Bombyx mori: one gene and its partner. The protein of the gene in region 1 interacts with the protein of each later gene in a pairwise test. Links are inferred from orthologs where the notes say so. Each region holds a gene or a part of one and is shown in the gene's direction. Other genes may lie near its edges.

Evidence for each region. The genes of interacting proteins can lie anywhere in the genome.
Region 2: the proteins of TRAF3-interacting protein 1 (region 1) and dystrophin, isoforms A/C/F/G/H interact in a two-hybrid assay, tested with the Homo sapiens proteins (2 studies listed by BioGRID and IntAct). The link is inferred for Bombyx mori from reciprocal best matches to the Homo sapiens genes TRAF3IP1 and DMD.

What each region holds. Positions count from the first base shown.
Region 1 is NC_085131.1:5,592,699-5,596,695, reverse strand, and holds the start of TRAF3-interacting protein 1, read left to right. Parts: upstream 1-1,184; 5' UTR 1,185-1,367; coding exon 1,368-1,502; intron 1,503-3,099; coding exon 3,100-3,217; intron 3,218-3,791; coding exon 3,792-3,997.
Region 2 is NC_085113.1:13,856,822-13,860,341, reverse strand, and holds part of dystrophin, isoforms A/C/F/G/H, read left to right. Parts: intron 1-86; coding exon 87-209; intron 210-3,520. UniProt on the Homo sapiens protein: Anchors the extracellular matrix to the cytoskeleton via F-actin. Ligand for dystroglycan.

The sequences.
Region 1 (3,997 bases):
TGGGTATACACTTTGATATTACTTTCACTCAGGCGCTTTGAGAAAATTGTATAGCTTCACACAATTTGGTCTTCAAGTAAACTTTAGACAGAACAGAGCATCAGGCGCCACGTCTGCATATTAAATTTACATTCAGTCTTGCCAATGTAGTGTAGATCTAAGGAAAAGCATATCGAGCCACAATTTTAAACGATTAATTAAGACATAAATAAGTCTTGTTAAAATATTTATTTTGTAATAAATTGATTATTTTGATGCAATTTAAAAGAATTATTGATAAAATTATAGACCTACAAATTGTACACAGACAATAAATAAACATTAGTAATTGTGCTGATTTGTGCTTACGTAGGATAATCTATGATACGGTAAGTCTGCTTTTTTTTTTCAATATGAAAATTAAATGAGCTTCTTGACATGATATGGCGTATGTTGAGTTCAAATTAAAATTATGTGGATTTTTTTTCGAAAGTGGGAAAGGTGTATTGTAAATTACCAACTTGGGATATGCGTACCTCTGGGGTGTTCCGAATCCCATTGGGGGTACGTGAAAATTATATTGGTAATGGCCGTAAATACTGAGAAGTTTAAGTAGTTAACTTAAAAAAATTAAAAATATGATGATAATGTTGTTTTGTCTACAACATATAGTTTTAAATGAACTTTATTCTAATAACTATTTAATAAAAACGACCGATAAACCAGAAATGAGACATTTTTTAAGTATGGAGTTATCAGGATTTAATCGAAGAGAAATGAGACACATTAGGTATGGAGTTATCAAGGTTGGAGAACTCAAAAAAAGTTTAAGGGGTATGGGAATGAAAAATGTTTGGAAAGCACTGCTTTAGATCACCGTGGCGGGCACCGTGGATTTTCATAGCAGCAAAAATCAATCCTTCTTTTTGAAAGTACGTAATAAAAACAAGATCGCTGTTGCGCAAATTACTTTAGATTGCCAATTTGAAAGCTCCGTAAATCCTTGTATTTTACTGAGTGTTCATTTAATGCCATTCCATCCCATCTCATTGGTTTTAAATATGTTTTATTCTTTTTCACTTTTCATTCAAACGATATGGGTTTTGCCTGGAATTTTTTACAATTGTCATTAAAGCTATCTTGAAAATGGATACCGGCTGTATGGGCATATATCCCGTTCTTTGACCAACAAAACATTTTTGGGTTCTAAGCCGTTTCCATGGGAACGTACAGTGTACACAAAATTAAAAATACCACGACTCCTGACAACCTTTATGAAACCTATGTTTCTTGTTAAATTATTGTAATCAACAATTTTTTGTGTCGTTAAGAATAGGTATATGGTTATTTGATATTTATTGCTTCATGTTTACTTTGTAATATGTGCAATGGAAAAAGAAATAGATCCACAGATCATAAAAGAAACTCAAACATCTCTCGGAAAATATGTGAAGAGGCCGCCTTTAAGTGAAAAATTACTGAAGAAGCCTCCCTTTAGATTTCTACATGATATTATTACTAGCGTGAGTGCATATATTTTTCAAAGCACTTTAAAAACACACTTAGAAAATTCAAAATAGCAATGACTTCAAAAATGCACTTTTCCAGTGACGTATGATAAGATTCAGCGCCCTGAGCCGATAAGGTTTAACGCCTTAATAAAATAAACGAAAAAAATATTTTTTTTAATACGAAATTAAATCGTGCTTTATTGTTTGTGTGTAAAGAATAATCATAAAGAATGAAAATATGAAAATGGCCAAGTAAAGAAAAAGCAAAACTGAGCGCGTAATGATGCGGTTTGCGTCTATCCTAACAGGAGCCTTTTTAGTTTTAGGGTATCTACCCTAGAACCCTAGAGGCGTATTTACGCTGTGTAATTCCACTGACGAGACCTGTTACAGAAAAATGACCAATCTGAACAGAAATTAAATAAAGCAACACCATATCTATCTATACTTTATTTTTTTATATTAAAAAGCTGAAGAGTTTGTTTGTTTGGTTGAACTCGCTAATCTCAGGAACGACTGGTCCGATTTGAAAATTTCTTTCAGTGTATATAGGCTATTTAACATCACACTAAGACCAATACGAGCGGAGCACTAATAAATAATGTTTCAAAATCGGGTTTATTTCCTTTTGGGAGCCTCCGCTGCGTGCGCTGCGGAAACGGTTTAAGTGTCGCTAAAATAAAATATGACAAAAAAATCCCCTTTAAAAGTTTTAAAAAAAACTCCGCGACGGCATATATTGGCTCACTAAAACCTTTTTTAAACTAACCAAATTTGTTCTAAAATAAAGCATTATTTGTGACGGTGTTTTTATAAAGATGATATTACTTAATACTTATCCAAAGAAATACGTTATTCATTACAAGCATTTAATTTAAAAGAAATTGGCCCTTTACATAATTTGATTTCAATGAGTATCCTAGAAGATATCGCAGTTTTAAAATAACATTAGCAAAATGCATAAGAAAAATAATGATCAAGCACGTAATAATGGTGTAGGTAGAAGGCGCCGCCGCCGCGCCGGTGCGCGGCGACATAAAATAAGAACAAAAAAGAAGTACCCAAATCATTTCAAGATAGGCTGAAAATTGTAGATTTTTTCGATTTCTCCAGGATCCCATCATCAGATCCTGATCCTGATGATTACTTACAGGACCATTCGGGAAGTCTAGCGTTTCGAACAAAAAAAAAGAATTATCAGAATCAGTTCAAGCATTCTCGAGATATCGGTGAACAACATAGATAAAAATATGGTGGTCGAATTGATAACCTCCTCTTTTGAAGTCGGTTAAAAAGCGTGACTTTGGTCCCTTAAATAGCTCCTTAACATTCTTTATTAAATAATATTTACACCTTCTATGAAGTCCCGGGTAAAATTTAGCGTTATCCCAAAGTTAATTAAAGTCTAAGTAAAATAGTCTGATATTACTTACAAAATGGCTTAAGTAGCTAACATGTCCTGGTAACAAATTTTTTATTACCATTGTATTCACTGCCTGATCTGAGCTGATGTTAATCTGTTACCAAAGTCCATAGACATCGAGACCTATGTAAGTCTAAGTTTTTACTAATCATTATTTTCTCTAATGCTTTTTATTATTAATTCTAGGTTTTAAAAACAACTGGATTTTTCGAAGGTTTATTTGAAAAGGACGAGTTAACTTCTGAGAATGTTAAAGATAGAGAGAGTAAAATACAGTTTTTAAATAAAGTCATTTCAGTTATACGTAAGTTGATTTTAGATGTATAGATGGATGAACGTGCTCACAGCTCGCCTGGGGTTCTAATATCGGAGTCCATAGACTTCAAAAAGTGAATACCTACCTTTACTAGGGTCTCTATTTCAATTGGATAGTAGTTCTGCAAATTAGTTTTATGTAAAATTTTAAAGCTAAAATAGGTGACCGAGCTCACTGCATACCCGTGGTTATCGGAGTTCATACACATCAACAACGGAAATGGCAGCACCCACCTTGAGACATGAGTTATAAATCTTAGTTCTATAAGTTCCATAGCACGATGGCTACTCTACTCTGTCTTAATGTATTAGACAGGCAATATTAAGTTATGAGAATATTGTAAGGTTCAAATAACCGTATCAGATACCGTTTTTTTTCTATCTATTAATGTAATAACTACCGCTGTCTTGCCCATATTCTTTTCGAAACTTTCGCAGCTACTATAATATAATATATATTAGATTAATACGTTGTGTTCCCGAACTCACTCACATATTAACACAATTAAGTATGTATTTAAAAAAACTTACAAGTATTCTTAATTTAGTAAATTTATATACAGATTATACAACAGGAAAACCTATCAATATTAAGCCTTCAAAGATAGTAGCAGGTCAAGAGGCAGAGAAAACGAATGAACTCTTACAATGTTTGGCACAAGCTCTAGACAACAATTTATCGTCAGTAGAAGCAGTGAAAAAATATAAAGAAAATGCATCACAAAATACTGTGCTTATAAAAGAAACGAGATCTAAAGAATCGATTCCT
Region 2 (3,520 bases), on another chromosome or scaffold:
GGCGACGTCAGTTGAAGTCAAGTGAAAGTTTCACTGATTGGATCAAAAATGCGACTTGACTTAAGAGTGTAATGTTGTTCTGTCAGGATACGAGATGGCGGCACCGTCGGCGGCGCAGGGCCGGCGCCGGCTCACGTGGCTCGTGGAGGTGGGCGCTGCGCCCCCGTGCGCCCGGGTGCCCTACGAAAAGCATCTAAACTACACTAAGTGTAAGTGCACTTTTAATTTCTTTTTATTTAATACTAGCTGACCCGGCAGAATTCGTAGTGTCTCAATAGATAAATCAAAAACCTAAACTTTTGTATAAAATAAACTTAAAACAAACAAAAGGAATCCGTCCGACGGGGGACACATCAAAGGGAGAACAAAATTCCGAGCATTTTCATATCTATCTACCTTTTAAACCTTCTCTGGACTTCCATAAATAATTCAAGACCAAAATTAGCCAAATCGGTCCAGCCGTTCTCGAGTTTTAGCGAGACTAACGAACAGCAATTCATTTTTATATATATATATATATATATATGCTATCGTTAATTTTATTTAAAAAATCAAGTTCTGTGACTGTTACTAGTTCACTCCTTAAATACCGACAACACTCGCGTCAACCGACACGTACCTACTATAATATTATGGTCTCCTACAGAGTAGTACAGAGCGTGCCTGCCGACGCAACGCGCGCACTCAGCTCGTAGAGATAGTACGAGTAGGTACATGTGCCTGAAGGGCATAGCTTGTCTTCATTTATTATTCTATTATTATAAACCTTATGACGCTCAATCTTCAGTGTGCATACCTAGGATAGGTAAGATAGGATTTTGAAGTCGTCGTGGCCTAAAGGATAAGACGTCCGGTGCATTCGTATCGAGCGATACACTGGTGTTCGAATCTCGCTGGCGGGTACCAATTTTTCTAATGAAATACGTACTCAACAAATGTTCACGATTGACTTCCACGGTGAAGGAATAACATCGTGCAATAAAAATCAAACCCGCAAAATTATAATTTGCGTAATTACTGGTGGTAGGACCTTGTGTGAGCACGGGTAGGTACCACCGCCCCGCTTATTTCTGCCGTGAAGCAGTAATGCGTTTCGGTTTGAAGGGTGGGGCAGCCGTTGTGACTATACTGAGACCTTAGAACTATATCTCAAGGTGTGTGGCACATTTACGTTGTAGATGTCTATGGGCTCCAGTAACCACTTAACACCAGGTGGGCTGTGAGCTCGTCCACACAACTAAGCAATAAAAATAAAAAATAAAAAAATTTTGTGCAGACGACTTGCAACTTTGCGTGCAGGCGATTTGGAGTGGTTTTCAAACATATTATGTTTCAACGGACTGTGGATAACCGTAGCGGTACCAGCTGGCAGGGGCGGACTTCGCTACAGTGAGGTGATGCGGTGATAAAAGGGATGATGGAATCATATCAAACAATGATATGCTATCTATTGATGGCATGCCATTGTTGTGCTGATGATAGCACGGGGGATGCGTGATGTATCAGCCCTTAAAGTCTCTCCCAGACCGTGATGCAGGAGAGGCGGTCAACACTAGTGCCAGAAGTGGATATCCTATTGTCGTAGTCATTTCGTGGGCAAAGCCAAGTTGTCGCAAAAATGATGGGAGTCCTCAATAGAGCGAAGCGGCACTTCGCACCTGGATAAAGGTTTTGGTTTACAAACCACAAGTCCGGCCTAGCGTGGAAAACTGCCCCCATTTTTCAGCCGGTGCTCCAAAATACCAGCTTCTTCCATTTCACCTCAATCAGAAAAAGGTCAATCGGATTGTCGTTGATCCCATTCTCATGGATCGCATGGAATCTCTGGGTCTACGGAGGAACTTCGGTTCTCTCTGTGTTACGTACCGAATGTACAAATGTACGTAGGTACCTACTGTATCTACTAAATGTATGTACTCCACACGGCAGATGAACTGCTTGAGATGATCCCATCACCTCGTTATTACTATCGCACGGCCCGCCCCCGGAGTAGAGTTCTTCCATACTACCTGGAGCCACTACGTTCATTCATTCATGTTCGCCTGTCTACAAGGCCAATAAAAACAAAAAACAAAACCTCGGAGCCCTCCATGGAATATCGGGTACAAAACACAGAGAGCGCTGAGCTGCTCCTTAGATAAAGAGGCAAATGGAACTAACTAATAGTACAAAAAAAAATATCTTTGAATTTCCTCAAAAAATGCAAATAACACAGCGTGTACATATTTTTGTAAAGTTCATTTATCAGGTTACACTTAAGAGTAAAATATATTTTAATCTGCGCAGATAATATTTTATGTAAATAAATGAAAAGTGAAATATTTTTAAAGCTAACGATTTAAGCGAAATTATTCTGATTTTGCAACCATGTGAACAATCAGGAGTCAACAAAACCACTTACGACAGCCCTTTCTATTTCCTCTATTGTCAAATAACGCTGCTTGATGCATGCAGTGGTATAAATCCGAAATTAACTCTAATATCCCTAAGCGGCGGTGATACCATAAGTATGCTCAACCCTCCGTTCTATTTTAGCTATTACTAAATAAAGACACCTTTCCTACATCCAAGTTCCAATTATCAATATCATCGATATTCACAATTTTACAGACGTATTAGGTAATATTTTATCAACCACAAACCGCTGATTTTTCATAAAATATGCACAGAGTCGAACACAGAACGTCCTCATTTATATATTAATACGTGAAGCAAAAACTTTGTATCCCTTTTTACGAAAATTGCGCGGACGGAGGAGTATGAATTTTTCCACACTTATAGAGAATATAGAGATGAAGTGCACAATGCTAATATTTTTTTTAAATAATGCGTAAAAGATACATTAAATCAATCAAGAAACCATTACACACACTACATACCATGTATTTGACGCACACATGCATGCATACATGCATGCATACTATTTATTGTCAAACTTTTGTTCTTGACGTCTGTGGTCAAATTGAGAATACATTAAATATTGTTTGTCTTTATTAATATTTTTTTATAGCGTAGCCTTGGCGAAATTTGTGATGATAGAAGTAGAAAATACAATCATAATAGTGTACAAACTTATTATACAATTCCAATTAATCATAGTCGAATTTCGACTACTGCGGGACCTCTAGTTTTCTTAAGTCGGCTTTAAGTGGCGACACTACAGAGTGTAAGAGATAAGGGCGCCAAAAAATTTCACAGGAACTAAAAAAAGTAGTGTTAGTTTAGTTACTGTGAAATATACTTGAAATACACCTGTAAATATACCGAAGTACATACATATTTATTAAATTTGTCAATTTAAGTATAATGAACCTTATAATAACCGACTCCTACTTCTACAGTGCTCTGGGAACGCCGCGCCGTTGGCTCCGCCCACTTTCATTCTTAGATTTTCAATGTTGCCACAATCCAACGTATTCCAAGAATATTTGCTTTTAATTATATTTAAAAATAATAATAACTTTAATTTTAATCTATATATATAAAAATGAATCCCTATTTCCCTTGGTCACGACATCAT